Elephas maximus indicus: one gene and its partners. The protein of the gene in region 1 purifies or fractionates together with the protein of each later gene. This does not show direct contact. Links are inferred from orthologs where the notes say so. Each region holds a gene or a part of one and is shown in the gene's direction. Other genes may lie near its edges. The genes, in order: SYMPK, CSTF2, CPSF4 and CPSF2.

Region 1 (7,111 bases):
GCTTTCTGTCTCTCTCCCCCACTCCCCTGCCACCTCCCATCTCTTTCTCCCTCAGAACATCTTGGTATCTGTCTCCTTCCCTCAGCATCACCATTGCCCCAAAAGTTCAACACTGAAACCGGAGCCAAAGTTACTTCCCTCTTCCACCCACTGTGTCCCCCTGGTTGGCTGGCTCTGCCCCCTCCCCAGAATAAGGAAGGCGGGTCCTTCAGAGATGAAAGGAGGCAATGAATTCAGTGGGATCCAGAGAGAGTTGGGGAGGGATTTCTAAGTCCTTTTGCCACCCGCCCCCCCCCCACCAATTCTCTAACTCAGCTAAGTTCTTGTATAGCAGAGTAAGACAGACTGAGACCCTAGGGCCCTCCTTTACTGGCTTTCCCACCCACCAGGAAGTCCTCCTTTAGGTCTGACCTCAAGCTCTGTAGTTGCCCTAATCCACCCTAGGCTTTCCCACGCCCCAGGGCTGAGGTGAAGCCCGGTGTCCGGGTCTAAGCCGGATCTCCCCCGCCAGGGTGGGGCTGAGATGGGGGGAAGCCCTCAGGGGACCTGCACCCCCACTGCAGGAGGCTAGAATTTCTTCCCTTTCATTTCCTTATTGTTCCTGAGGGAGGGTGTGACGGGAGCAGAGGTAGGCAGTGCAAAGCCAGAAGCCTAGTGTCCAGTCCCTGGCCCAGCCCTGGGCTTCAAGCAGCCCCCAACACTCCTCTGGGCTTCAATTTTCCATCTCTAAAATGGGGGAGCAGTGGATCAGCTGATCTCTAAGAACCTGAGGCCAGTAGGGGTGGACCAGGGGTGATAACTTTCCAAACTCTCTTGACAGGGAGCCAGCCTGGGGGTATCAACATCACCCCAGCAGGAAGAGGTGGTTTGAGGACCCTGTTGGTTGCTGGGTGAGTGTAGGTATTTCTGGCCCCATTGTTCCGGCCCAGAGGGAAGGAGGTGGGTTAATCTGATGGGAGGGTTTGGGGAGACTCCCAGACAGTACCCTCCAAACCATTTCCAGCTACCCATATGTGGACTCTTCTAAAATATGCCCCCAAACTGTCCCCAAATGTTGATCCCCTCTGGATTGTCCTTCAATTTCTGAGTTATCTAGACTGTCCGTGCAAATTGTTCCCCTAAACTTGGATCCATCCAGACTGCATCCCAAATATTGATTCCCCCAGCATAGACTCGCCCACAAACTACTTCTAAGATGTGCCCCCAAAACACTGATTAGTGGATGGTCCTCTTAAGCCAAATGCCTAGACTCTGAGCTCTCCAGGAGGCCCGGCTAGAATCCCCCCACTAGCCAGGAGCCTCCACTTCCCACCCTGGTCTCCACCTTTCCCATCTCACCACTGACACCTCTAGCTGCCCCGCCTCTACCTCTCAACACTCCCAGCCCCTTCCCCAGCTGGCCCTTCCCTATCCCACGTGCACTTCACACCTCCACTGCCCCATGACTGGCCCCTCCTAGGCACACTGCCAGGCCCCACAGGTCTGGGGATCCAGGAGACCCACCCTACAGCTTCAAACCCCAGACCCAGGACTCAGGCATGCTGGGGCCCACATAACCCCCAGATCTCAGTCTCCCTGGAAAACTCAGCCATTCCAGCCTCACATCCCCACCTCAAGCTTGCAGTTTCCTTCCAGGTTAGGAACACAAGCATCCAGACCCCGTAACTCTCAGACTAGGATCCCCTACTCCCAGGTCTCACAATATGGACTATAAAAAAAACCCAATGCCGTCCAGTCGATTCCGACTCATAGTGACCCTATAGGACAGAGCAGAACTGCCACACAGAGTTTCCAAGGAGGGCCTGGTGGATTCCAACTGCCAAACTTTTGATTAGCAGGCGTAGTTCTTAACCACTATGCCACCAGGATTTCCATGTGGACTATAGAGTGAGTAAAGAAAGCAGCAGGAATCCTTGCAACAAGGGGAACAGTAGTTAGACTTGGAGAAGGACTTCTTGTCTCCTGGCCTGAGGGAATTAGGATAAACCCCCACCCACAAATCCAAGGAGGCCTTGTCTAAAATCAGACTGGATGAGGACATTAGCAATTGCTGGAGGTTGCTGGGGGGCAGGGATAATCTGAAACCCTCCACCCTCCAAAGAGGGGAGTCCCTGCTAAAGGACTCTAATAGCAGTTAAGTTCAGCTGGGAGGGGCTGCGAGTCCTGGGGAAGGATGGGAGGATGGAGATTGAAACACACCCTCTAAATACCCGCAAAGGTGATGCCCACATCTATCCGAGCCCCAACTCTAACCTGTCTGTTATCTCGGACCCCCAAAAGAAAGCTTCATCTCTGAACACCCCCATCTCGTACTCCTGAGTGCCAACCACTATTCCTGGCCCTATCTTAGATGGCCACCTTGATCCTCATTCCTGAACCCCCAACTTTACCACCATATTCTAAACCTGAGCTCCCACCTCCAAAACCTATTGTCGTCCAATCGATTCGGACTCATAGTGACCCTATAGGACAAAGTAGAACTGTCCAATAGGGTTTCCAAGGCTGTAATCTTTACAGGAGCAAATGGCCAGCCAGGTCTTTTCTCCCGCGAGGCAGCTGGTGGGTTCAAACCTCAGGCCTTTCCATCAGCAGCAGCAGCTGAACGCTTAACCACTGCGCCATCAGGACTCCTTGCTCCCACCGCAAACCTCCCTTAGTGGTTTCTCCCTACCCCCAGCTCATTATCTTTCCTCCAACTTTGAACCCCATTTCCTAATTCTTCAACTCTGTCCGCTACCCTGGAGCTCGGATTCCTATCTTTGGTTTGTTCATTTTAATCCCTGGGATTTCGGGTCCCCAAAACCCAGCCTTCACGTTTAAACTATGACCTGACCTTTGCCTACGTTTTCCTGACTCTTATTTGAGCCCTCACCCCGGCTCGCCTGCCGAAGCCGCGAGTCCATGCCTTGTCCCCTGTCCCGGATTCGCACACCTGGTTTTCGTGTCCCCCGTTCCTTGTCTCCCCAGTTAGATGCCCCGGTCCCGTTTGAGCCCACGCGCCTATCCCTGTCCCCATTTAAACCCACACCCGGGTGCCTGCCCCCCACTTCCCGCTCCGTCATCCCCGAGGACACACCTCGCCCGCCTCGGGGTAGTAGCTCCACTCGGCCAGGTCATGGGCCTCCATCTTCACCGAGCCCAGCATCCCCGGGGCCTGCGCCCCCACCCGCTCCCGTTCCGGTCCCGGGGGAACGGAACACTTCAGATCGCTCAGCAGGAACGGCCCGACTCCGAACGGCGCCTGCCCGTCCGACTGCCCGGGGTCCCCGCCGTCCCGGGCGCCGCGGGAGGCGGCCACGCTTTATAGCCGGGACACCCCCGCCCCTCGCCCGCCCCGGACTGCCCTCCCGCCTCCCCGAGGGCGGTGCGCTCGGCCTGGGGCGCCCCCTGCGGGACTGCGAGGAGAGAGACCTCAGGCGCCGGGGACCGCATTCCGGGGACGCGAGAGCAGGAGATGGCTGAAGAGTGAGGGAGCTGCCGGGGTGAGACCCTGCTGATATTAAAGGCCCCGAAGGTACAGCTCTGGAGCACTTCTACCCGAGGGGGAGGGACATGTTCATCACCTCGACAAAAGAGAACCAATATCCAGAGCCCAGCATGGCAACGGCGGAGGAAAGGGGCGCAGCGCGCAGGGCGCTCTAGGGGTACCGATGTACCACTATCAGGACCCTTAGCAGAGCCTGGAAAGCGCACTCCCAATGTACAGATGAGAATACTGAGGCTTCCGACGGCTGGAAATGTTCAGACTGGAAAGAAAGGGTCAGGGCTAAGGATGGGGAAACCGGGCCTCTGATCATACCACACTAGGACAACAGACCACCTCGAAGCTTCGCCTCCGGGATTCTTTAAGCTCTCCAACCCCGCCGTCCAGGGACTCGGAACCACTGGGAACTCCATTTCCCAGAAGCCTCTAGCTCCCTTTCCGCCCTGTGCCTCTACCAAGGGACTACATTTCCCGGAAGCCTGTGAGGGGCGGTCTCAGGGCACTCTGGGGAAGTGAGGAAGGCCGCTCGCGCCGCACGAGGTAAGGGCGGGGTCGGGGCGGTCTGGACTCCATTTCCCGGCAGCCCTGCGTGCGCAGCGCGTGCGCAGTGTCACGGCGGCGAGGGAAAGATGGCGTCGGTGGCGTCTGTGAGGAGGCGCTGCTGAGGGGGCGCGAGGGGGACGGAGGCCGGAGCCGCGGTGAGCGGGGGACGGCCTGGGGGCCGGGGAACGAAGGGAGGAGGGGCCCTCAGGAGGCGGGGGCGCTGGGGGGCCGCGACAGGAGAGGGGAGCAGTGGCGTTCGGGACCCTTGTTTCTTCCCCTGCTCAGCACCCTTCCGTGGCTCCCCAGTGCCCTCAGGGCAAAGTTCCAATGTGGCCCCCAAAGCGCGCCCGCCCCGCCGACCTCGCCGGCTTCCTCGCTGCCTTTTTGCTCACCCCCCACCTCTCACAGCTGCACCGGCTTTTCGGTTCCTCAAACTTGCCGTGCAGCTCCCCGCCTCATGGCTTTTGCACATGCTGACCCTTCTGCCCGCAGTACCCTTTTACCCATTCTGCCTGGCTAATTCCCATTCATCCTTTGGGGCCGGGCGCAAACGTCACTTCCCCTGCGTAGCACTCCTGGGGAGGATTTTGGGTCGACTTTGAATGAGATGTGGGAGTGACAGGCAGCAGGGAGCATAGGCAAGAGGCTGTTTACTCAGTTTACTTATGTGGTGCTGCTCTAACAAATGCCACAAATGGATGGCTTTAACAAAGAGAAATTTATTTTGTCCCAGTCTAAGAGGCTAGAAGTCCGAGTTGAGGGCGCCAGCTCCAGGCTTTCTTTTTCTGTCTGTTCTAGGGAAAGGTCCTTGTCATTAATCTTCACCTGGTCTAGTAGCTTCTCAACCCAGGGACCCACTCCCTTTCTGGTTCTTCATTCTTGATGCCATGAGGTCCTTCTGTCTCTTTGCTTGCTTCTCTGTCTTTTATATCTCCAAAGAGGTTGACTCAGAAGACAACCTAATCCTGTAGATTGAGTCCTGCCTCATTAACATCATAGAGATAGGATTTACAATGCATAGGAAAATCACATCAGATCACGAAATGGTGGACAGTTGCACAATACTGGGAATCACGGCCTAGCCCAGTTGACACACGTTTTTGGGGAACACAATTCAATCCATAACTGTAGTCATTCATTCAGCAGACATCTATCAAATAGCTACTCTGTACAGTACATAATGTTCCTTTTTAAAAACGTATCTTTTTTGCCCTCCCTAAATTCTGTTCCCCTGAGGTGATTATTGCTAATGGTTTGTGGACTGTTTTTCAGCTCTTTTCCCGTGTAGGTAACAATAGCCATACTCATCTAACATTTACTACATATACTAAGAATAGCCTTGGCAGTCAGGCACTGTTACCATCCCCGTTGTACAGAGATAGAAACTGAGACCCAGAGAGATTAAGTTTCTTACCTCAGGTTATTCTGTGAATACACACGCAGAAGCTTGGCAGAAATGGATTGAATTGCACGTACTGTTTTGTGACACAGCAGACTGTCGTAGACATCCTGTCCTGATAGTACATGAGATCCGCCACTTTTTTTTTTTACTGTTTTCTCCCACTTACGGTTTTTGGTTTGTCTTTTCAGTTTGTTGTTTGTTTGCTTTTTTGTATGTATATATGTATATATTTGTTTTTATAGAAGTGGAGCATATGGTGATAAACACCACCTTCCTCTTTACTTCCTTTAACTTAATATAACACAGGAGTCTGCTCCCCATCAGTGTATAAAGATTTTCTTTATTTCTTTCTTTTTCCTCTTAGTCCTTTTTCCAGTGGCATAGTATTTATCATGTGGTTGTATCATAATTTTTCAACCAGTTCCATTATTTAAGAACGTGTGGGTTGTTTCTGGCCTTTTGCTATTACGAATAGAGCTGTCATCGAGATCCTTCTACACTAATCATTTTATGATATTACCAGTATAACTTTGGGATGTTATTGCTAGCGGCCGTCCAGTCAGTCTCCAACTCATGCTAACCCCACACACAATGGAACAAAATCCTGCCTGGTCCTGGCCACACACACGATTGGCTGGGAATCGGACTGTTGTGATCTGTAGGGTTTCCGCTGGCTGATTTTCAGAAGTAGATAGCCAGGCCTTTCTCTCTGGTTCGTCTTAGTTTGGAAGCTCCACCAAAACCTGTTCAGCATCTTGACAACACATAAGCTTCCACAGACAGGCAGGTGATAGCTGCGCATGAGGTGCACTGACTGGGTATCAAACCCAGGTCTCGCTCATGGAAGGCTAGAATCCTATCACTGAGCCACCACTGTCCAAAAGTCCCCCCTCCCCTCCCAGCTCCATAGTATTCCAGAGAATAGCTGTAATATAACCTCTTTAACTAGGGCTTTTCTGATGTATCGGGTACCGACTGTGGGCAGGGCTGCTCCATGATTGGAGTTCCTCAGAGCTTTGTTTGAGAAAGTCAGGAAGCATGGAGACCAGTAAGGTGGCTTCTGTGGTTCATTTGGCATCCAGCCATTCAGCAGATGTTCTGGTCTGCTTGCTGTATATAAAGTACTGGAGCTGGAACTTGGGGACCTGCCTCTGACCTGGAAGTCCATCAGGGAAGGCGAGTGACATCAGTCTCCCCCAGATTACAACCACCATGCACACGTACATGTAGTCTGGAGTAGGCCGGGACTTTGGAAGGCAGGACAAGGAAAGGACAGGCTGGGGAAGTGGGTTGAGCCCTGTGTTGGTGATGGGGTGTAGGTCAGCTTGACCCATCCCCTTCTTCCCCAGGGGATACCTGACAGCAGCCATGGCGAGCAGCAGTGGGGACAGTGTTACCCGCCGGAGTGTGGCCTCTCAGTTTTTCACACAAGAGGAGGGAGCAGGCATTGATGGCATGACCACCTCAGAAAGGGTGAGTGTGGAGAGAAGGGCTCGGAGTTGGGATGCACAGCCCTGGCTTTCGGCGGGCCACCCCCACCCCCAGATCACAGAGCCTTGGGAGTGCCAATGGGCTAGGCTGGCAAGGCCAGCACCACCCCCTGCCTTTCTTTCCCCTCTAGGTGGTGGATCTCCTGAACCAGGCAGCACTGATCACCAATGACTCAAAGATCACAGTGCTCA
Region 2 (7,651 bases), on another chromosome or scaffold:
CAATAAGGCAAGAAAAACAAATAAAGGGCACCCAAATTGGAAAGAAAGAAATAAAACTCTCCCTATTCGCAGATGATATGATCCTATACATAGAGAACCCCAAAGATTTGACAAGAAAACTTCTGGAACTAATAGAAAGACTCAAAAGACTAGCAGGATACAAGATCAACATACAAAAATCAGTTGGATTCCTATACACCAACAAAGAGAACTTCAAAAATGAAATCAGGAAAGCAATACCATTTATAATAGCCCCTAAAAAGATAAAATACTTGGGAATAAATCTAACCAGGGATGTAAAAGGCCTATACAAAGAAAACTACAAAACACCATTGCAAGAAACCAAAAGAGACCTACATAAATGGAAAAACATACCATGTTCATGAATAGGAAGACTCAAATGTCAATCTTACCCAAAGCGATCTACAGATATAATGCAATTCTGATCCAAATATCAATAGCATTCTTTAAGGAGATGAAAAAACTAATCGCCAAGTTTATATGGAAAGGAAAGAGGCCCCAGAAGATAATGCATTATTGAAGAAAAGGAACAACGTAGGAGGCGTCGCACTACCTGATTTCAGAACCTACTATACAGCCACGGTAGTCGTAACAGCCTGAGACTCGTCCAACAACAGAAATATACTTGAATGGAACAGAATTCACAAGCCAGTTGTAAATCCATCCACCTATGGTCAGCTGATCTTTGATAAAAGGACCAAAGTCTACTAAATGGGGAAAAGACAGTCTATAACAAACGGTGCTGCCAAAACTGGATGTTCATCTGTTAAAAAAAGGAAAACAGGGCCATACCTCACGCCATACACAAAAACTAACCCAAAATGGGCCAAAGACCTAAATATAGAACCTAAAGCAATAAAGATCATGGAAGAAAAAATAGAGACAACACTAAGGGCCCGAATAAACACTAAGGGCCCGAATACATAGCATAAATTCAGTATAAACCATAACTAACAATGCACAAGCAGCACAAGATAATCTAGAAAACTGGGAGCTCTTAAAAATTAAACACTTATGCTCATCAAGAGTAAAAAGAGAACCTTCAAACTAGAAAAAATTTTTTGGCTACGACATATCCAACAAGGGTCTAATCACTAAAATTTATAGAATACTTCGATGCCTCAATAACAAAAAAACAAATAACCCAATTTAAAAAATGGGCAAAGGAGATGAACAGACACTTCACCAAAGAAGACATTCACCTGGCTAACAGACACATGAGGAAATGCTCATGATCATTAGCCATTACAGAAATGCAAATCAAAACTACAATGAGATACCATCTCACCCCGACATTACTGGCACAAAAAAAAAAAACAGAAAATAACAAATGTTGGAGAAGTTGCAGGGAGATTGGAACTCTTACGCACTGCTGGTGGGAATGTAAAATGGTACAACCACTATGGAAAAAGATATGGCGCCACCTTAAAAAGCTAGAAATAGAAATAGTGCAGTCCCACTCCTAGGAATATATCCTACAGCAAGGACCTACACGCACACATTCTTCATATAGTCCAGCTTCTCAGAGTATTCGCTCAGCGTACGGATGGAATAAGTATGGTGAAAGGGTACAAGCCTGATACACGCCTTTCCTGATTTTAAACCAATCAGCATCCCCCTGTTCTGTTTGAATGAATACCTCTTGGTCTGTGTACATGTTCCTGCAGTATGATGGATTGCTTTTGTGTGGCCTTTCTTGCCATGGTCTTATAACTCCCACCCAGGTGATTGGGTGGGACTGTGTGATAGGGTAATTGTGGCCCTCCAAAGCAATTGGTCAGTTTTGCCATCCTGCTGGGCTTGAAATGAGCCACTCCAAAGGCGGGAAAGAGGATCCCAGCGCCACCAAGGAAGAACAGCCAGGAGCCAGCTCTGGACCCATGATCCCTGTGCTGAGAAGCTCCCGGAAGCAGGAGCCGAGAGAGAGAGAGAGAGCTATAACCCTGAAGATGGTGAGAAGCGGTGGCAGAAGAGAAGCAGTGGAAGGAGAGACCTCACAGCAGATGTCACCACGGTCTTCCTGACCCACAGAGAGAGAAAGCTGAGCGCCTTTGGGCAGGGGCCTAGCACAGGGAGAGGTGTGCATGTGAACATGGCTGGGAAGAGGCTTTCCTGATGGAAGAACTGTATCCTTGAGTTTTCCTGAGTCTGAATTATAATCTGTTACTTCCTAAATAAACCCCATAATCATGAGTATGGTCTGTGAGTTCTTTGTAGCCATTGCATTGAATTATCAAACCCAGCAGAAAAGTAGAGAGTTTTGTGGGAGGGATGGTTGGTGTCAGAATTGGTAAAGATGGCAGAGAGAGGAGGCATGCCTGACCCCCACCTCATAGGAATCAGCCTTGGACTGTTGATCTTGGTTCTCCTTCCTCCTGGTGAAATTTGAGGAGGTTAGACACTGTCCTCACACTATTTTTGCAGTTCCTCATGAGCACAATTAAGTGTTCCGGAACTTCCATTCTCCAAAATGTTATTCATAATTTGTTATGATCCATACAGTCTTTGCATAGTCAATAAAACACAGGTAAAATCTTTGTGGCATTCTCTGCTTTCAGCCAAGATTTATCTGACAGCAGCAATGATATCCCTCATTCTACATCCTCTTCTGAATCCAGCTTGAATTTCTGGCAGTTCCTTGTTGATGTACTGCTGCAACCGTTTTTGACTTACCTTCAGCAAAATTTTACTTGTGTGCAATATTAATGTTATTGTTTGATAATTTCTGCATTTGGTTGGATCACCTTTCTTTGGAATAGCCATAAATATGGATGTCTTCTAGTCAGTTGGCCAGGTATCTGTCTTCCAAATTTCTTGGCATAGACAATGAGCACTCACAGCATAGCATCTGCTTGCTGAAACATCTCAATTGGTATTAGCTTTTATTATTACTAATTCATTGGTATCACCTGCACAGTTATAAGAAGGCTGAAGTATAAGTTATCTATGCAATGCGAGCAATGCAACAGGATCTTCAGATCCAGGATCCATTTTGGTCTAGTATTGCTGATACTAACAAGGGTATTAAATTTTCAGTGTTTCTCAAGGGGAGAGAGTTGGCATCAGGTAGGGGGAGGGATTCATTGTATAGGGCTGTGCTGGACTTAGAAATACATCTATTATCTCTGGTTCCCTCCCCCCACAAGTAATAGCACTCCCTCAGCCATTACAATAACCAGTCTGATACACTTCCAAGCACCTTCCTCCACAAAAGGGTAGTTCTAGGTTGAAAACTAATGTAAGGGCAATTTTATAAGAAAGCATCATTAAATGTTGCCATAAAGCTACCTCAATAGGTACAATGCGGTCCAAATTACTTGACCCTAACAATCAAGGGCAGTTGATTAAAAATAATTATTCTCAGATTCCTCCCCTAGAATCCCATTCCGTAGGCCTGGGGTGGAGATCCAGGAATTTCTACTCTTCAGCACCCAAGGTGAGCCTTTTGCTCATTCAAGTTTGGGAAACACTAGGTGAGAAAGATACTGAGCCACACACGCATTTATACAAAGTTCACCACACTGGGACAATGGCTCGCCAAAGCTCTTTGAAATCTTGTTTGGAACTATTTTATAACACAAGGTGTTTTCTTGATCACACAGTAATTGCAAGTGGGAATCTGGAGTCATGGGAGAACTCTTCCAAAACTTTTTATTTTGGCTCATATTATTACTTTAAATGACATGCTCCACGGTGTAAAGTAGCTTCATTTATTTTTACCAAATATTCCTCATACTTCAAGCAAGGATCTACACACACACACACACACACACACACTTCTAATCTATCTGGGATTAATAAAACGTCCTTGTCTCAAATTCTGTAGATATTTTAGCATCTCTGCCTTCTTTTTTCGGACAAAAAGTCCGTCAAAGAGAGTGCTCTTGATTCCTTCCTCCAACCCTGGCAGGCTGTCTTCCTGTGAGGTGGCAACTAGTCCTGCATGCCATATTCCAGGAGCGCAAGCACCAGAATTTGGTACCAATGGTCAATGATGCTTTATGTTGTTTACAATCCCCTGCCTGTCAGTGTTCTCTCCCCTCGCCCCCTACCACCACCAAGCATATAGAGCCCAGGGACTACACGAGAGCAGACACGGGACTGTTCTCCTTTTAACTCTCCAACTCCTCAGCTATCTTGGCAACTTGGCGTTAAGCGCCCCTCCTTCTCTTCGCTGGCAAAAGTCTCTTCCCTAAGCTCACTCTGTACACTCGCAACTTTAGCAAAATGACAGCAGACACGCTTCTGAGGCGGGGCAAGCATTTCCCTCCCTTAATAAGGCGGAACTAAAATGAAAGTGTGCCGGTTGTTGGTAAATGAGCTCCCTGTTACCATGGTAAAAACCGCTGCTGCCATCTTTATTGTGGTCGATGATACCTCGACTTAAGAGATAATGAGTAACAACAAGAATTCTACAGACTAAAACCTTCAAAGTCGCCTGGATCCGCCATCTAGACCAGAACGATATTATCTGGCGGTAGCCAGACGACGAAGGCGTTGTGCCACTCACGGCCCTAACGAGAGCTTGCGGATGACGGAACGACGCCTGGGGACGGGCTCTGCGTCCGCCGGCCCAGGAGCTTCCGGCTCACGCGCCGTACGGAAGCGAGTTCCGCGCTGGGCTCACGCGCCGTACGGAAGTGTGTTTAGCGCACCGGAAGCCGCCTGAAGAGAGCGATGGCGGGTTTGACTGTGAGGGACCCTGCGGTGGATCGTTCACTACGTTCTGTGTTCGGTGAGAGGAATTCGGTGGAGCCCAGCGTCTGGGAAGGGCAGGAAGAGGCAGGGAACGGCGAGGAACGCCCCCTGCAACTCTCCCACCTCATGAACCGGAGCCGGTGATAGGTCGGGCGTCGAGCTCTACCTGCTTATCCTGTGGGCGGTCAATCTGGTAGATTTGTAAGCAAACAGATGCTTCCCGTACCGCGATGTCCCGCAGCCTTTCTGCGATATTGTTGAGGGAGTTAGGCGAGCGTTCAGCTTCTATGCGTTTCTCCTTTCACGAGCTTCAGTTATTATCTGGAAGCGAGAGCGCATGGCGACAGTCCCTCACTGTCCCGTACTACCTGCTCACCCCCTATTCCAGAATGCAAATTAAATGCTGAGGGGGTAGATCCCTATGTCCACTTTCCGCCCTCTGATAAGGATTTTCTTTCTCTGCTTTTTACCGGTAACATTGCAGTTCATCATAGTGGTAGCGGCCACCTGGTGTCCTGAGGTGGATTATAAATAAATGAATGAATGAATGAATGAATGAATAAGACCTCGTCGAAGGAATTCTGAAGAGGATTGAATCTATTCTGAGTAAATTTTTCGGCCGAAATAAGTTGTTTTTCAAAGCATGTGTGGTGATTTTAAAGCACTTTTTGAAAAGGAACTTGACAAAACAATTTAGAATAATTTTTAAATATACTCCACTGCATTCTTGGACTTTCCTAAGTGTGTGTGTGTGTGTGTGGAAATGCAGACATTTGAGCTTGTTATAAAAATTATATTTTCAGTAGTTACCAACACCCAAACTCATTGCTGTCAAGTAAATTTGGGCTCATAGCGACCCTATAGGACAGAGTAGAACTGCCTCACAGGGTTTCCAAGGAGCAGCTGGTGGATTCAAACTGCTGATCTTTTGGTTAGCAGCTGAGCTCTTAACCACTGCACCACCAGAGCTCCATTTTTCATAGTGAGAAATAACACTTGCAGACTTTCAGGAAAATACCTATGCCTTAGTATTTATTTTCACTGAAGTTAAGGAAAATCTAACACTTGTCATATAAGTCTGAAAACTAACATTTAGGAGTGCCTACACCTTTTTTGGAAACCCCGGTGGCGTAGTGGTTAAGAGCTACGGCTGCTAACCACAGGTCAGCAGTCCAAATCCACAGGCTCTCCTTGGAAGCTCTATGGGGCAGTTCTACTCTGTCCTATAGGGTTGCTGTGAGTTGGAATCGACTCGACAGCAATGGATTTGGTTTGGTACACCTTTTATTGAGTTTCCTCGGTGGTTTACTTCATTTTTGTCAGCAGATAAGATTGGAATCTCGTCTGAAGGAGTTCCGTGGAGCAAGGATTTGAAGAACACTGTATTTTGAGCCAATTGTTACATACCCAGTGATATAAGTAGATAATGTACTGTTTACATTTTCACTAAAGACCTAGGTTACAAACTCAGGATTTTAATATGTCACGTATTTTTTTCCTTAGTGGGGAACATTCCTTATGAAGCTACTGAAGAACAGTTAAAGGACATCTTTTCTGAGGTTGGACCTGTTGTTAGTTTCAGGTGAGGTCCCCTTCTTTTGCCTCTTAGTAGGGGGTTTCTTCTTAAAAATTGCCACAAATTTGGCCATTAGGAATAATGAGAAGTTTTTTTTTTTTTTACTGGTGATGTTTTACATGCATTCTTTTTTTTTTTTAGGGCAGCTTTACTGAGGTATAATTCACATACCATACAATTCACATGCATTCTTATCTAAGAGATATATATATTTTTTTTTCATTTAAAAAAATGCTTAAAAAGATTTTAGTGAGGCAAAGTCAGAATTGTAAAGTTTTATCCTATGGTTGGCCAAATTAGAGAGTGGAAATGCTAGCAAGAACCCTGTATTTGTAACATTTGTGTCCGATTATTTGTAACATTTGTGTCCGATACTTGGTTCTGTTCACCAGGTTGGTATATGACAGAGAGACAGGAAAACCAAAAGGTTATGGCTTCTGTGAGTACCAAGACCAGGAGACGGCCCTGAGTGCCATGCGGAACCTGAATGGGCGTGAATTCAGTGGTAGAGCACTTAGAGTAGATAATGCTGCTAGTGAGAAGAACAAAGAAGAGCTGAAGAGTAAGTATAAATTCAGGTTTTATGAAATACAGGTTAGTAAAAATGTAACAGTGAAAAATTTCCATTTAGAGTGTATTCTAGAATATGCTGGAGTAGTTAGCGACACAATTTCTTTATTTGATTGACTTGAGGAGCCTGAGTTATGGAAGTAAATATCTTTGAGAAAGAAGGTAGAGTTGACATTGAGAGTCCTTCAGTTGCCAAGAGGGGAATTGATTTCCAGCTAGAGGTGAAGTTATTCAGGCTCACCAAGCCATCAGTAGGTGCGAATCATGTTGTTAGCATTTGCCACTCATATGACTATATTGTCAGATCTATAACTGGTGGGGTAATAAGGCATTCTTGTGTTTTTTACTGTGAAGTAATAGATCCAGAAATCCCATTTTTAAATTAACATCTTTTTTCTGTTTAAACCTTTTGCTAGTGCAGCGTTTTGTCAAAAGTTCATATGCCTAGTTTCCTACCTTAGTTTAACTTTGTCCATCTATGTGATCATGGTCCCCTTTTTCCTCTGAGAACAGAAAATACACTCTGTTACTTGCCTCCACAGAAAGAAAAGATTAGCAAATCACTTATTTGACAGTTCCGGAGAATTTTTAAGTTATCAACTGGTCCTTATGGTAGCCCTGGAAAATAGATACTTGAAGTGATTTAGCCCTTTATCTTATCTCCTTAACTTTCTTGTACTTTATTCCTGACCAGGCCTTGGCACCGGTGCCCCTGTCATTGAGTCACCTTATGGAGAGACCATCAGTCCTGAGGATGCCCCTGAGTCCATTAGCAAAGCAGTTGCC
Region 3 (7,477 bases), on another chromosome or scaffold:
GAGAAGGACATCACACCCGGTAACGTAGAGGGTCAGCGGCAAAGAGGATGACCCTTTCCAGATGAACTGACACAGTGGCTGCAATAACGGGCTCAAACACAGCAATGATTGTAAGGATGGTGCAGGACTGCGCGGTGTTTCTGTTCTACGTAAGGTCACTATGAGTTGGAACTGACTCAACAGCACCTAACAGAGACAATAACTTAGAAATTTTAAATTACATAGGTGTTAACGTGTTTTTATTGGTCAGCACTGGGTTAGAATCTAGCCTGACTACTTTAAAACCCTTTCATAAGGTTTAGGGTCACGGTTTTGAGGGTCTGTCCAGTCAATTGGCCTAATAACTGTTTTTAGAGTCTTTCTACCTCCTAGTTTGGCAGGTAGTGCCTGAGGTCTTCTGAGTGGCCATCCAACATACAATGATTGGTCTCTATCTGCCTGGGGCGGCAGAGGAAGAAGAAGACCCAGGAAACAGAAGGCAATGGACTGCAGGTCTAATTGCCTCCGTGAACTACAACCTCCACTGCCATGAGACCAGAAGAACGGGATGGTACCCGAACACCATTACTGAACATTTTGCTCAAGAACCCAATAGATAAATCCCGATCAAACAGAGGAAAAATACAGAACAGAATTTCAAATTCTTAGAGGAACCAGACTTATTAGACCCACGGGGACAGGGGGAGCCCCCGAATCTATTGCCCTAAGATAACCTTTAAACTGTGAACCAAAACTATTCCATGAAGTCATCTTCAAACTAAACAACAGTTTAGATCAACCAGTAAAGAATGCTGCTTTGAGCAGTGCATTCTTTGAAAGAAATACCTATATGAGATCAAACTGACAACAGTAACTCAAAAACAGAGAAGTTTAGGAAACAGAGAGTTTAAGTTACTGGTTGTGAAACAATATGAGTACAGAGAGCAAGACTGATGATACAAGGCAAAGAGTATACCCAACGTCACGGAACTGTACAGGCAGAAAATGCTGAATGAGTGTGCATTGCGTTATATATATTTTCACACACATACAATACATACACATACAAATATACATATATGTATACATTTACATACAGAAACCCTGGTGGCATAGTGGTTAAGTGCTATGGCTGCTAACCAAAGGGTCGGCAGTTCGAATCCACCAGGTGCTCCTTGGAAACTCTATGGGGGCAGTTCTACTCTGCCCTATAGGGTCACTATGAGTCGGAATCGACTCGACGGCACTGGGTTTGGCTTTTTTGAGAATGTATACATATGTGGACGTACACGTATATATACATATATAAAACAACCACAACAACAAAATAAAAACACTTCCATAGAAAACACCAGAACCACCGGCATGAAAATTTTCAAGGTCTAGTTATATTAGAAGGTCAACACTGGACCTCAGAAGGGATGGTAGGTTGAACAGGTTAAGATCTGAGGCACAGCAATAGGAACAGACTGCCCAGGTCCCCCAACAGGGCTGTGGGTGAGCTGGGCCTGCACACAGGCTGGACTGGCTTTGACCTCAGGTCCATGCAATATATTAGACAGCCTCTCTGGACCACCGCCAGAAAAACCTCAAAACCAAACCCACTGCCATCAAGTCAATTCCAACTCATGGCAACCCATATTTTATGAATAAGACGGCTCCCTAGAGTTTTCTTTGCTGTGAGCTTTATGGAAGCAGATTGCCAGGCCTTTCTCCTGCAGTGCCGCTGGGCAGGTTCAAAACATCAGCCTTTCGATTAGTTGTTGTCAAGTTGGTTCCAAGTCATAGCAACCCTACATACAAAAGAACAGAACACTACCCTGTACTGTACCACTCACAACCATTGCTGTGTTTAAGCCCACTGTTGTAGCCACTGTGTCAATCCATCTGGTTGAGGGTCTTCCTCTTTTTTGCTGCCCTTCTAGTTTACCAAGCATGATGTCCTTCTGCAAGGACTGGTACCTCCTGATAACACTTCCAAAGTACATGAGCCATCTTCACTTCTAAGGAGCATTCTGGCTGTACTCCGATGAGTAGCTGAGTGCAAACCATTTGCGCCACCCAGGAACCTGACCACCACAGGAAGAAAAAAAAAAAATTACCATCGAGTCAATTCCGACTCATAGCAATCCTATAGGACAAAGTAGAACTGCCTCATAGGGTTTCCAAGGAGCAGCTGGTGGATTCAAATGGCCAACCTTTTGGTTAGCAGCCAAGCTCTTAACCACTGCGCCACCAGGGTGGCCTGAATTCAGCATCTGATGAAACCAAGGACTCCTCGGAATCACGTGTTCACATCCATTCATTAAAATACATGGAATCAAAAAATATGCACTAAAAATGTTTTAAAACGAAGGTATTTGCTGTCCTGATATTGTGATAATCAGGGCAGGGTCAACTGTATTAAGACTACACATGTGTTCCTAAACCTAGTACTTCCCCTGTTGTTGTCAGGAGCCTTCGAGTCAATTTTTGACTTGCAGCGGCCCCATGTGAGAGTAGAACTGGCCCACAGGGTTTTCTAGGCCAAGTTGCTGAGTCGGAATCAACTCAGTAGCAACTTTTTTTTTTTTTTTTAAATAGGTAATCTTTACAGAAGCAGATGGCCAGGTCTCCCTCCCACAGAACCGCTGGGTAGGTTCAAACCGCCAACCTTTCAGTTAGCAGCTGAGCACTCATCTATTTGTGCCACCAGGGCTTTTACACAGGCTGATAGCAAACCAAGTCTAATTTACCATACAACCATCTTGTGTGGGGAACGGCCCTGAATCTAGTTATCTTTGTGCAAACTTCAGAAAAAATAACAGTATAACTAGCGCAGTAACTTGAAAAGAACCAGGGCTAAAGAGGGCATGAACAAGAGAAATTCTGTGATTATCAACCAGTTGTCATGAAATGAGTTGTAAAATTACTATGTTTTATTTTCTAGGGTAAAAAAAAAACAAATATGCTATACTAGCATATATGCTTCTTTTTCCTATAATTTTATTTTTTGTTAAGAGTATACACAGCAAAAGATACACCCTTCAACATATACAATCCAGTGACATAAATAACGTTTTTTGAGTTGTGCAACCCTCCATTTCTAAGTTGTTCCTCCCCCATTAATATAAATTCGCTGCCCCTAAGGTTCCTATCTAATCTTTAGTGTTGCTGATGTCAACTTGGAAACCCTGGTGGCATAGTGGTTAAGCGCTAGGGCAGCTAACCAAAGGGTTGGCAGTTTGAATCCGCTAGCTGCTCCTTGGAAACTCTACAGGGCAGCTCTACTCTGTCCTATAGGGTTGCTATGAGTTGGAATCGACTCGAAAGCACTGGATTTGCATGTCAAGTTAAAAGATCTTAAAAGAACATAATGCTTAAGGCAGACATTTTTTAAAAATAATTTTTATTGTTTTAAGTGAAAGTTTACAAGTCAGTCTCTCACATATAAACTTGTATACACCTTACTACATACTCCCACTTACTCTCCCTCCTTCCAATCTCTCCTTTTGTGACCGTTTTGCCAGTTTCTGACCCCCTCTACCCTCCCATCTCCCCTCCCCGATGCAAGTAGCTCACTCCTCACATCAGCATCTCTCTCCAACCCATTGTCCAGTCCAATCCATGTCAAGGCAGACATTTTTTATTGATTAATCAACTACTGTTTGGTTTTGAGAAGACTTCAAGGTTTAAAGATTATCTCAGGGCAAAGTTTTGGGGGTTCGTGCGCCACCCATGGCTCCAGAATATACGCTTCTTTTTCAGCACATTAAATGCCAAGGTCAAAGGGGCGCGAGGGCAACTGTCAGCTCAGGTATCACCACGTGGCGGTTACAGGTATCTCCCACAGTATTTAACACCACGGCTTTGAAATAACAAAGTCTCTGACGCTGCATACGCTACTTTGGTCTGTTGCCTCCGTCATGGAAAGAAATGCTAAATTTCACAAAGAGAAATCACCGGGGTCACCTTCTCCCTACAAGTACAGTGATCCCAGGTTAATAATTCCTGTACTGGGGACACGCGGCCGCTGCTCTCCCTCGGAGGGACCTACCGACCCCCAGACGCCTACGGGACCTCTGGCCAACTACCACCGCTCTCCACAAAGGCCTTCAGGGCCTCGGGTTCCTCATGGGACGTTCCCCGCCCCCGCGTCGCCAGTCGTCCTGTCCCCGCCTCGGCCCGGTACCGGTTCGCCCCGGCCCCCTCCTCGGTCCCCGCCCCGCGTCGCTCCCCGTCCCGTCCCCCCGCGTCTCCCGGTCCCGGCCCGCGTCGCTCCCGCCTCGCCCCGCCGCTCACCTAGCTCTCCGTCCCGGAGTCGCAAGCCTCGGCCCGGCCTTGCACAGACGCCGTCAGCGTCGCGAGATCGGCGCGCAGTTTTACGATTTCCGAGGCCGCGAGGCGAGGGAGCGCTCGGCTGGCGACTAAACGGGTCTCGCGGAGCGGCTCGTGCTCCGCGCTCGATTGGCCCGGTCTGGACATGTGAAGCCCCGGCCGGCGGGCTGTGCTCCCGGCATGCCCCGGGCGGCGGCTGTGGCGGCTAAGGCGCGTGTGCGGCGGGACCGCGGCGGGTGGGCGAGTGAGCGGCTGGAGAGTCGAGTGGGAGCCGGGCCGGCAGGCCGCCGCCACCATGCAGGAGATCATCGCCAGTGTGGACCACATCAAGTTCGACTTGGAGATCGCAGTGGAGCAGCAGCTCGGGGCGCAGCCGCTGCCCTTCCCCGGCATGGACAGTGAGTGCGGGGCCGGGGCCGCCGGGCGGACCACCTCGGACCCAGGACCCCTCCTCCAGGATCCCGGGTCCTCTCCGCCCTTGTCTCGGGACTGCTCCCCTTGGCTCCGGGCTCCCTTCCCCTCGTTCCCCTCCCCCTGGTTTCAGGACCCCCTCCCGCTGAGTCTCGGGATCTCTCTCTCCTCGTCCCGGGACTCTTTCCACCTCGGTCACGGGATCTCCTGGGCCTGGGGCTCCTCCTCTCGCTTGGTCGCGTGGTCCCTCTCCCCCTCGGTCCCGAGACCTCTTTCCCCCTGGTTCTGGGACCCCCTTCTCTCTCCCACCTGGGCCCAGGAGTCCTCCTCCTTCGGCTCTCTCATCCCCTGGGGCTGTCCTAAAGTCATCTGCAGGAGAGCAGGGTGCTGCCTGACCAAATAATTCTTGAACAAAGGCAGGTTCTCCATGACTTGGAAATAGCCCCAACGCTCCCTCAACTACAGGAAGGCACTAGAAGACACCCCTTCCCCAGGAGCCCACCTCCCACTGAGCACTCTCTTATTTTCATCAAAACATTGGGCCCTTGGAGGGGGCTTACTGAGGGAAGGGCCACCTCCCCCCTCTCCCTAGGAGATCCCCCAAACCCGTCTCTGAAGCCTACCTCCTCCCCAGAGCCCATCCCTCATTCCGGGCCCGCCCCCCACTTTTTTCTGGTTCCTTCATTACACCCAGGCTTCTGGTACAGACCCTTCATGTTGGCCAGTCTGATCTCCTTTCACTGTCCCCCTTCTCTGGGCGGCTCCGGCTCTCCAGTGCTTCCTCTCCCCCAACTCCGGCGGGATAGTTTGTACCTCAAGAGGAACTGACCGTTTTTTGCTCTCCTCACCTTTCTGGGCATACTGGAAATTTAATGCTATAATATTAAGACTCAGAGAACTCTTGGAGGTTACTGATTCAATCCACAGATCGGGAAGCGGAGGTCTGGCTGGGGGAGGGGACTTGCCCAAGACCACACAGTGCGATGTGGCAGAGCCAGGGGAGGGTTCCGGCGTTTCTCACCCCTTCTCTTCAGTTTCCCATTCGGTCTCCCATCACTGCCAGAGTACTGCGGCCTTGTCCTCCCACTTATCCGTGGGGGACATCCCTACAGCCTCGCTCCCCTCAGGTGGCCATTCAGAGGTCACCTTCTGAGTCAGAGATCCTCTGTCCCACACATGCTGATCGTTCTGTGCCACAGAGTGCTTCTCCTGGAGACACCTGTGCCAGACAGCCACACTTTGTACGTGTGCAAACACTACCGCTGTGGGACACCTCTTAAAAGCAGCCGCTCGAACTCAGACACACGCACCCTCTTACCTACGCTTCGACATGGGATCACGTCCTATGTGCACGCGCACATCCACACCTTTTCTGTCTTGATGACACCAGCTTGAGGCCGTGGAAACATCTGTGTGGGGCAGCTCTTTCCCCCACCCTTCTCCAGCTACACCACAGATCTGAGAGTCTGTGAGGGCAGGCACAGCGGTGAGGGGCCCACGTACCTGTCCTAGGGTGGGCCAGGGACAGGTCCGGTCTCTGCCCAGCCATGGCTGCTGCCTAGTTCAGGGACTCAGACCTGCTAGGTGCCTTTAGTACTCACGGCCTATACGTGAAGGAGCCCTGGTGGTGCAGTGGTTGAGCACTCAGCTGCTAACAGTAAGGTGTGCGGTTTGAACCTACCAGCTGTTCCATGGGAGAAAGATGTGCTTCTATAAAGATTACAGCCTTGGAAACCATACAGGGCAGTTCTGCTCTGTCACATAGCGTCGCTCGGAGTTGGAATCAGCTCAGTGGCAACAGGTTTGGTTTTGGTTTTTGGCCCGTCTGTGATGGCATTCAGCATGTTAAAGCCCCCTCTGACTATCCAGTGAGGCCATGGCTCCACCTCCGTCCGTGCCTGCACGGCATTCCCCCTCATACTGGGGAAGAGCTGTCAGCCCTGCACTAAGGTGTGATCTTTTATCCATCTGCCTGAGACCCAGTCCCAGGAACGGATTTCTAGCTTTCAGGAATGAAGCCTTTACCTCTGAAAACCACAAAGGCCCAGAAATGCCCTTAAATGCAGAGTTTTTGATGTCAGACTCTTCAAAGTTATTAAAACACAAAAAGTGTCTCCCTTGAGACCCGTTTTCTGCAGTGTTAAGCCTGTACTGTACTAGCAAGATCTGCCTGTCCTGGACAAGCCAAGGAATCTGCTGCAAGTTAGCGAGGAGAGGATGGAAGTGGGCTTTAGGGCTGCCGTCGGTGGATGTTCAGCAACTGTAAAATGTCTGCTGAGAGACAGAAATGTTAAACTAAACCAGGCACTGTCGAGTTGACCGCAACTCATGGTGATCCTACGTGTGTCCGTGTAGAACTGTGCTCCACAGGATTTTCAGTGGGTGATGTTTTTGTGCTTTACATGAAGGTTTACAGAACAAATTAGTTTCTTGTTAAACAATTAATACACGTATTGTTTTGCGACATTGGTTGCCAACCCCGCGACATGTCAATACCCGTTCTTGACCTTCGGTTCCCCATTTCATTTGTCCAGCTTTCTTGTCCCCTCCTGCCTTCTCATCCTTGTTCCTGGGTTGGTGTGCCCATTTAGTCTCATGTACATGCTTGAGCTATGCGTATTGTTGTTTGTTTTATGGACCTGTCTAATCTTTGGCTGGGGGTGAACCTCAGGAGTGACTTAAGTACTGAGCTGTGAGGGTGTCCAGGGGCCATACTCTTGGGGTTTTTCCAGTCTGTGCCAGACCAGTAAGTTTAGTATTTTTTTGTGAG
Region 4 (6,977 bases), on another chromosome or scaffold:
GAGCTCAAGCATAACAACAATCATAAGGATGGTACAGGACCAGCCAGTATTTCATTCTGTTGTGCATAGGGTCACTATGAGTCAGAACCAACTTGAAGGCACCTAACAAGAACAAGACATATAGTGTGAAATAACTATTATTTTATACCTAAGAAAAATGGGGCTCAAATAGCTTAAACCCAGCTATTAAATGCAGAGGTGAATTCAAATTCAAGTCCTCTCCAAAGCTCTGGCTCCTTCCTACATTATCGCACTACCTCTCTAAGAAGCCTCTCCCTGAACTGATTTTAAGTTCCAAGAGTTTCCCAAAGGCAGAGGAGGAGGAATAGGGGAGCCAGTTGTCATCATATGGAAGATAAATGCATACTAATTCAATAACAACATGGTCCAATTGTTATTTTTTGGTAAAATTCTGTACATAAAGATGAAATTTAAATATGTTCATTTGCAAATAGCCTAAAATGAATAAATCATATGCAATGGTTGAGAAGACATGACAAAACCTTATTCAGAGTAGTAGTACATTTCTGCCAACAAAAGTGCTTAGCACTAAATTTGCTTGGATCACGTAGATGGAATTTCCTGCCTCTCCTAAGACAGTGGTTCTCACACATATACAATTCTAATTCTTTAATTTCTCAAACTTTAATCAAATACCCATTATGTACCAGGCACTGGGTTAGGAAATGACCATGAAGTTAAAGTCATACGATTACTATATATTTCATAAAGGGCAGTATTACACAATGGTTTCCTTTGAATATCACTGGTCTAGAAAATTATGAGGTAAGTAAATTACAAGATAATTAAAGCATATAATTTACTCACCAATTATTTTTATATTTTTAGTTTACTGTCTACAATTGGGGTTCTCAAACTTGCCTGCACATCATATGTAGAGCCATTTTCAAAAATAGGGATTCCTTGGCCCTACCTCCACGGTGGGGCTGGAAATATCTGTAGCTGAAAGTATTCCCCAGCTGATTCTGATGTAAGTGGTACTTGGACATACAAACGTAAATGTATCCAATCTGACTTTATTTCTATAAGATGGTGGTTCTCTTGGTATTGTGCCTGCACTAAATAGTGTTATCTGCATTTAGATCTCTAAATATTATTTTGATGAATACTTACTTTTTAGTGGATACCGACCAAGTGTGCCCACCAAGTACTTACTGTCTCAACTTACTTGCTTTATAAAATTGAGCCAATCAACGATGGGGATAACAACATGTACCTTAGTCAAATAACGTAACCTTGAAAGAGGTATCAATTCTACCCTAAGCACAGCTGACTATTAGATATTATTCTGCACTTAACCAACAACAAAAAGTACTTGTTAACTCCTAGCCCAAGACTGGCTAAAATAAGCCCATGGTCACCTGTGGGCTATAAGCCATCACGGCTGGTACTTTTTTTCGGGGAGGGAAACCAGACCCTAAGGAATTGGGTTTGTCTGGCTCTACTCCCAGCAGAAGAGATAAGACAAGGCTCTGTGGCTCTTGCTGCATTTAGGCTCTTCTAGAAATCCCAGATGCCAAAGGTATCTGGGTGTATCAGGGTTGTATGCTTTCACCATATTTATTCACTCTTTATGCTGGGCAAATAACCAGAGAAGCTGGACTATATGAAGAAGAATGGGGATTCAGGATTGGAGGAAGACATTTTATTCTGATTGTACAGTTTAGAATTTAGTAGACTTTGGGAGTCGTTGCACTGAACACGCTTTGTTTTATGGAGAGTGGATAACTAGAGATGACAAAGCTTTATGGACGTAAGTGAGCTAGAACGATGGAAAGTGGACTGTAGGGAAGGGGAGCCAGGTGCTCCGGTTCTTGGGCCCAAGACATAAGTGAGCTTGATCTGATGGAGAAGGGACAAAGAGGACTGGGAACAGGCTCCAGTGAGGCAAGCCCAGGTTTTGGATAAGGGAGGATCAGCAGTAGGATGACTCAGGGGAGAAAATAAAGAACCAATTGCTGTAGGGGACATCCACACACGTGCCTGTGACATAGCTGTGTATGTGCTTTTACTAATTTGCAACCTGTCATTCTGTCATATGGCAACATTAACATACATTATCAGATATAGGCCTCTGTAACCCATTGTATTTACCATTAATATTATCCAGATGCTTACACTGTACAAGAAATTAGTGTCTTTTTTATGAGTACCTTCAAGAAAAACATTTTTTTTTTTACTTCAGATCTGAAAATAGCTATGGCTTTCCCGAAAAAAATTAATTTTTTTATCTCACGGACTGCAGGAATCATGTACCTGATCATGTATCCTTCCATACCAAAATGATCCAGTTTTTTGGGTTTTTTTTGCCCATCTCTAGCAATATGGCTGCTAACCAAAAGGCCAGCAGTTTGAATACAGCATCTGCTCCCTGCAGGGCAGCTCTACTCTGTCACTGAGTCAGAATCAATTGGACAGCAAAGGGTTCTAGCAATAGCAGACTCTTTTTATAGCACTCTGTGTCAGGCATAGTTCTTACTGTTTTTCATATGCATCAGCTCATAATCACAACACTATATTTGTATTAACTCATATAATACCCACACTGTTCCCTATGTTTTTTTAGGATGAGGAAATCCAGGACAAATGATAAAATAACTTGTCTAAGGTCACAGATGCAGTAGGTGGCAGAGCTGGGATTAGTACCCAGGCATTTTGGCTCTTGTGTCTATGCTCTTTACTTGTGTTTTACAATAAAGCAGATTTTCTCTTAGAGTAAGTATAGAGGTAAGCACTGGTATTAATTAACCACACTTTTCATTCTATCTCATTTTTCTTTAGCCCAATTTTATTCCCACTTCTTGAAAAACAAAGGAGCCCTGGTGGCACAGTGGTTAAGAGTTTGGCTGCTAACCAAAAGGCAGCAGTTCGAATCCACCCGCCGCTCCTTTGGAAACCCTATGGGGCAGTTCTACCCTGTCCTGTATGGTCGCTATGAGTCAGAAGCGACTCGACGGCAACAGGTTTGGTTTTGGTTATGGTTAAAAACAAAAGTTGTATCTAGTATTTTTTGTATGTCACTAAAGATATTTATTTTTTAAGAAATAATATTCTACTCTCTAACTGGTTTTTACAGCCCTTTATATGTAGTATTCACAAAGTGCCGACTTAACCTCGAGAATGTGAACTCGAGATATGGAGCACTATCTTAATGGCATACACAACCTAGAAACCAAAAGCAAATTAAATACTGAGTTTTTAAAAAGTAAAAGGGTAAGTGCCTATTTTGTGAAAGAGAGTGAGAACAGCTTCCAATCCTAACTAACGACAATGGCCAAATCTGAGATGGTCGCAGAGGCACTCCACCCGTACTTCCGTCTCGGCATAGAACCCTGGCCCGCTTCGGTCTTCAGCCAGCGAGGGGGAGGTCACTGGGTGATCTCTCAAGACGTTTCCGGCCTTTATGACATTTATGACAGTCTCAGAGCTCCCCTTCCAAAAGCTGCCAGGCGGAGAACGTGAACGTAGGCGTCCATCAGAAGAAGAGGTCGTCGCTCGGAAGCCCGGCCGCTCCCGCCCCGGAGAGACTCAGCCACCCCACTACCACCAACCCCATCACCGCCAAGGGCTGTCATAGAAGACACCCCTACTGATATAGCACAACCGTGACCCGGCACGCACCCACCTGCGGTACCAACAACGATCCCAAGACCAAGGGCAGCCGCGAGCTCAGCAGCCTGCGCCGGCGGAAGCTGCAACGTCGGGCTCTACCATTTCCCGCTTCCGCACGGAAGAGAGGGGGTAGCATCTGGAAGTCATACCCCTTCTTCCTTTTCGCATGTGACTCTTCTCACATTTATTTCAGCTTTCAAACATAATGAATAATTTTGAAATAGAATTTCAGCCCAAGGTGACGAGACTTGTTGGTGTAAGTGCCTTCTCCTTCCTAGAGTTTCGTTCCCCCCCCAGAGATGGTATAATCCTGAGTCTCCCCGGCCTCAGCCGTTCCCCTCCAGTTCCAAGATGGCGGCCGCCGCTGAGGGGCTTCTGTCGGCGGATCGTCACAGTTGCTGTTGAGCGGGCACCACTTTTTCTAGCTCTCGAACCTGGATTCGACTAGGGGTTGGGAAGGGCAGTGGACGGCGTTGGGGGAGGACTGACGAGGCAAGTGAGGGCAAAAGAAAGGAGTGAGCCTTTGGATGAGGGAGGGGGCGTCCTCGGCCCTCAGGGAGAGCCTGGCCCCAACTCCGACCCAGCCTCCCTCGGGGACGTGCTCCCGGAGTTTCGGTTGAGCCAGTCCTGGTCGCTCCTGGCAGAAGCGCTCGGCGAGGGAACGAGAAGTGATTTCTTCGTGGGTCTGAAAGTGGCGGCTCCTTTGTGTCAGGCTGTGCCATTCACTCCCGTGCCTCCTTCTGGCGCTGCCTCTCCTCTGTCTGGGGCGCTGGAGGCGTTCATCCGGCGCCACGGTTAGCTCTTCCTCCGCGTGGCTACGGTGTTGTCAGCCTCCTCGCTCGGAGTCTTCCCGTCGTGTCGGGACGAGAGACTACGAGTCTGCTAAGCACTGGGCACGAAGTAGGCGTCCTTTTAGTTAACTGACTCCGAAGTTCTTAAAGATATTACTGCGCTTTCTTAATTGTCTCGGCCCTCCACCGTCCCCGACCGCTTTCACTCCTATCATTTCAGTATTTTAAGACCTCATTCTTTTTGACTTTGTGTGATTTTAACATGCTCTTTAGAAAACAGGAGGTCACGGGCAAGTCTGGCCTCCTGTGATCAGCCACACCTGAGTTACCATTTACTTATCCCCTGGATTTTCATTTACAGTCCCTTTGATCCTGTTGTGAAGCCACTGCTCTTCTGAAATTGACCAGAAAGAGACTTTCGCACCCCATGAGTTCCAGTACTAACCCGAACTCACCCCTTTGTTTTTTTCTGTGGATTTTGCATAGTTCCCCTTAGTCGTCATTTTCAGCATACAAGGTCGTTATTGAGAGAGCAAGTAACTGATACATATTTGGGATGAAGTCGTATCGACCAAATTCACAGCACTGAAGGCATTTATGATCTTGTGAGGATTCTTTTAGCGCACATTTGTGTTGTTTTGGGCACTGTGCTTGGTCTTGGAGAGAAAAGACAAACACTTTTACTCCTCTGTGCATTCAGTTTCATTCAACAAATGTTTTTTGTGCCTACTTTGTGCTAGGTAAAAATAACTAGTCTTTCCTGGGTGGCAAGGAGCTAATATTCCACTTTTGTGGTGAGGGGTCAAGAGGAATTTCTGAAACTCCAGGGGAGGCCATTCCTGGAAAAGTAACAAGTACAGGGATACAGAGACTTGAGAAGTTTTAGGTACTTAGAGTGGGGCAATAAATGTACTTGAACATGCAGTTCAAGGGTGGTTGGTGAAGGAAGAGGTAGGTTATCAATTCGTGAAGGGCCTTGATTTCCACCTTAGGACTTTAGGTTTTATTCAATAGTTAACAGGAATCCCATGGATCTTTTGTGCAAGGAGGGGACATGAAAATATTTGTTTTTGAGGATAGTCTCTCTGACAGTTGTGTGGAGGATCAACCTGGAACAGGGAAACTAAATGAGAGAAAGTTGCAGTTATTCAGGTAAGGTAATAGTAAATGCCTCAATTGTAGGGCAGTAAAAATATGAGGAGCCCTGCTGGTACAGTGGTTAAGCGCTCAGCTGCTAATTGAAAGGTCAGCAGTTTGAACCCACCAGCCACTCTGAAGGAGAAAGAAGTGGCATCGTGTGTCCATAAAGATTTACACCCTGGAAACCTTACGGGGCAGTTATACTACTCTGTCCAGAATTGACTCGGCAGCATCGGGTTTGGGTTATTTTTTTCTGATTAAGAATATAAGAGACATTTCTGAAGTGTCAATTTGATGGTAGGAGAGTGACTCCAGAGTTTTAGTCTGTGAGCCTAAGTCGTTGGTGATACCATTAAAGTCAAGTCTAAAATGTGTACATAAAAATAGAACGGTGCCGACCTGCACTTCAGCAGTGGCGGAGAACAGTGCCCAGCAGTCTCTGGCATTGACTTCAGTGTCTAGAGTCTAGACCTGCTCTGTGACAGAAGGCATATGTAGGTAGCTTTTGAGCACCAGAAACGTGGTTGGTTCAGATTGAGATGTGCTGTAAGTATAAATACACACTGGATTTTGAAGGCAGTAAAGACAAAAACAAAAAAAGTAAAATATTTCATTAATGATTTTTAAATAATACATGTGGAAATGATAATGTTTTGAATATATTGGGGTAAACAAATCTCTTTCACCTGTTTCTTTTCCTTTTCAATGTGGCTATGAAAAAAATCTTAAGCTGCATGTCGCTTGTGTTATATTTCTGTTGGACAGAGCTACTAGTCAAGACTAATGATGGGCAAATTGGTAACTGTAAAAAACCAAACCCGTTGCCATTGAATTGAATCTGGGCCTTGAGATGATGATGGTGAGCAGCGATGTCTGGGCAGTTTGCTGAAGTCCTCAGTTGCCAGCTAAGGCATTAGTTTTGTTTTTTTCAAGCAGTAAGAAGCCTTCAGAGATCTCTGAGCAAGGGGTAGTATGTGCAGGAGTCTTTCTGAAGGTTTAATTGGCAGCAGTGTTTAGGTAGAGATGAAGGGAGGAAAGGCTGGAGGCAGAGAAACAGAGAAACCTAAGTGTGAGGTAGAGAGGCCCTGCATTAAGGTACTGAGAGTAGGAACGGGAAGGGAGTGGTACACGTGCAAGGCATTTTGGGGGGAAAAACAATCAGAGGTTGATGACAGACTATCCAAGAAGAAGTAAAGGGAGGAATAAAAGATATAGAGTTTCAAGACTCAGTTGCTTAGATAATGACTCATGAATTGAGGTCAAAGAATTGTAAAAAAGTACATACGAGGCTTGGTTGCTCAGTGCTTAAGAGCTTGGTTGCTAACTAAAAGGTCGGCAGTTCAAATCCACTAGTTGCTCCTTGGAAGCCCGTCTCCACTTCTATAAGGTTGCTGTGAGTTAGAATCGACTCCA

What was found.
Region 2: the proteins of SYMPK (region 1) and CSTF2 purify together in Homo sapiens (affinity purification with mass spectrometry; 4 studies listed by BioGRID and IntAct, with this or other methods). This does not show direct contact. The link is inferred for Elephas maximus indicus from reciprocal best matches to the Homo sapiens genes SYMPK and CSTF2.
Region 3: the proteins of SYMPK (region 1) and CPSF4 purify together in Homo sapiens (affinity purification with mass spectrometry; 4 studies listed by BioGRID and IntAct, counting the BioPlex papers as one, with this or other methods). This does not show direct contact. The link is inferred for Elephas maximus indicus from reciprocal best matches to the Homo sapiens genes SYMPK and CPSF4.
Region 4: the proteins of SYMPK (region 1) and CPSF2 purify together in Homo sapiens (co-immunoprecipitation; 8 studies listed by BioGRID and IntAct, with this or other methods). This does not show direct contact. The link is inferred for Elephas maximus indicus from reciprocal best matches to the Homo sapiens genes SYMPK and CPSF2.

Annotation. Positions count from the first base shown.
Region 1 is NC_064829.1:103,799,472-103,806,582, forward strand, and holds the start of SYMPK (symplekin), read left to right. Parts: upstream 1-4,097; 5' UTR 4,098-4,182; intron 4,183-6,748; exon of another isoform or gene 6,749-6,778; 5' UTR 6,779-6,797; coding exon 6,798-6,902; intron 6,903-7,050; coding exon 7,051-7,111. Other genes in the region: FOXA3 (hepatocyte nuclear factor 3-gamma), read right to left, coding at 3,077-3,145. UniProt on the Homo sapiens protein: Scaffold protein that functions as a component of a multimolecular complex involved in histone mRNA 3'-end processing. Specific component of the tight junction (TJ) plaque, but might not be an exclusively junctional component. May have a house-keeping rule.
Region 2 is NC_064846.1:57,411,822-57,419,472, reverse strand, and holds the start of CSTF2 (cleavage stimulation factor subunit 2), read left to right. Parts: upstream 1-4,641; 5' UTR 4,642-4,698; coding exon 4,699-4,756; intron 4,757-6,222; coding exon 6,223-6,301; intron 6,302-6,687; coding exon 6,688-6,857; intron 6,858-7,559; coding exon 7,560-7,651. UniProt on the Homo sapiens protein: One of the multiple factors required for polyadenylation and 3'-end cleavage of mammalian pre-mRNAs. This subunit is directly involved in the binding to pre-mRNAs.
Region 3 is NC_064830.1:102,872,822-102,880,298, forward strand, and holds the start of CPSF4 (cleavage and polyadenylation specificity factor subunit 4), read left to right. Parts: upstream 1-4,468; 5' UTR 4,469-4,591; coding exon 4,592-4,694; intron 4,695-7,477. UniProt on the Homo sapiens protein: Component of the cleavage and polyadenylation specificity factor (CPSF) complex that play a key role in pre-mRNA 3'-end formation, recognizing the AAUAAA signal sequence and interacting with poly(A) polymerase and other factors to bring about cleavage and poly(A) addition.
Region 4 is NC_064828.1:105,689,952-105,696,928, forward strand, and holds the start of CPSF2 (cleavage and polyadenylation specificity factor subunit 2), read left to right. Parts: upstream 1-3,968; 5' UTR 3,969-4,533; intron 4,534-6,977. UniProt on the Homo sapiens protein: Component of the cleavage and polyadenylation specificity factor (CPSF) complex that play a key role in pre-mRNA 3'-end formation, recognizing the AAUAAA signal sequence and interacting with poly(A) polymerase and other factors to bring about cleavage and poly(A) addition.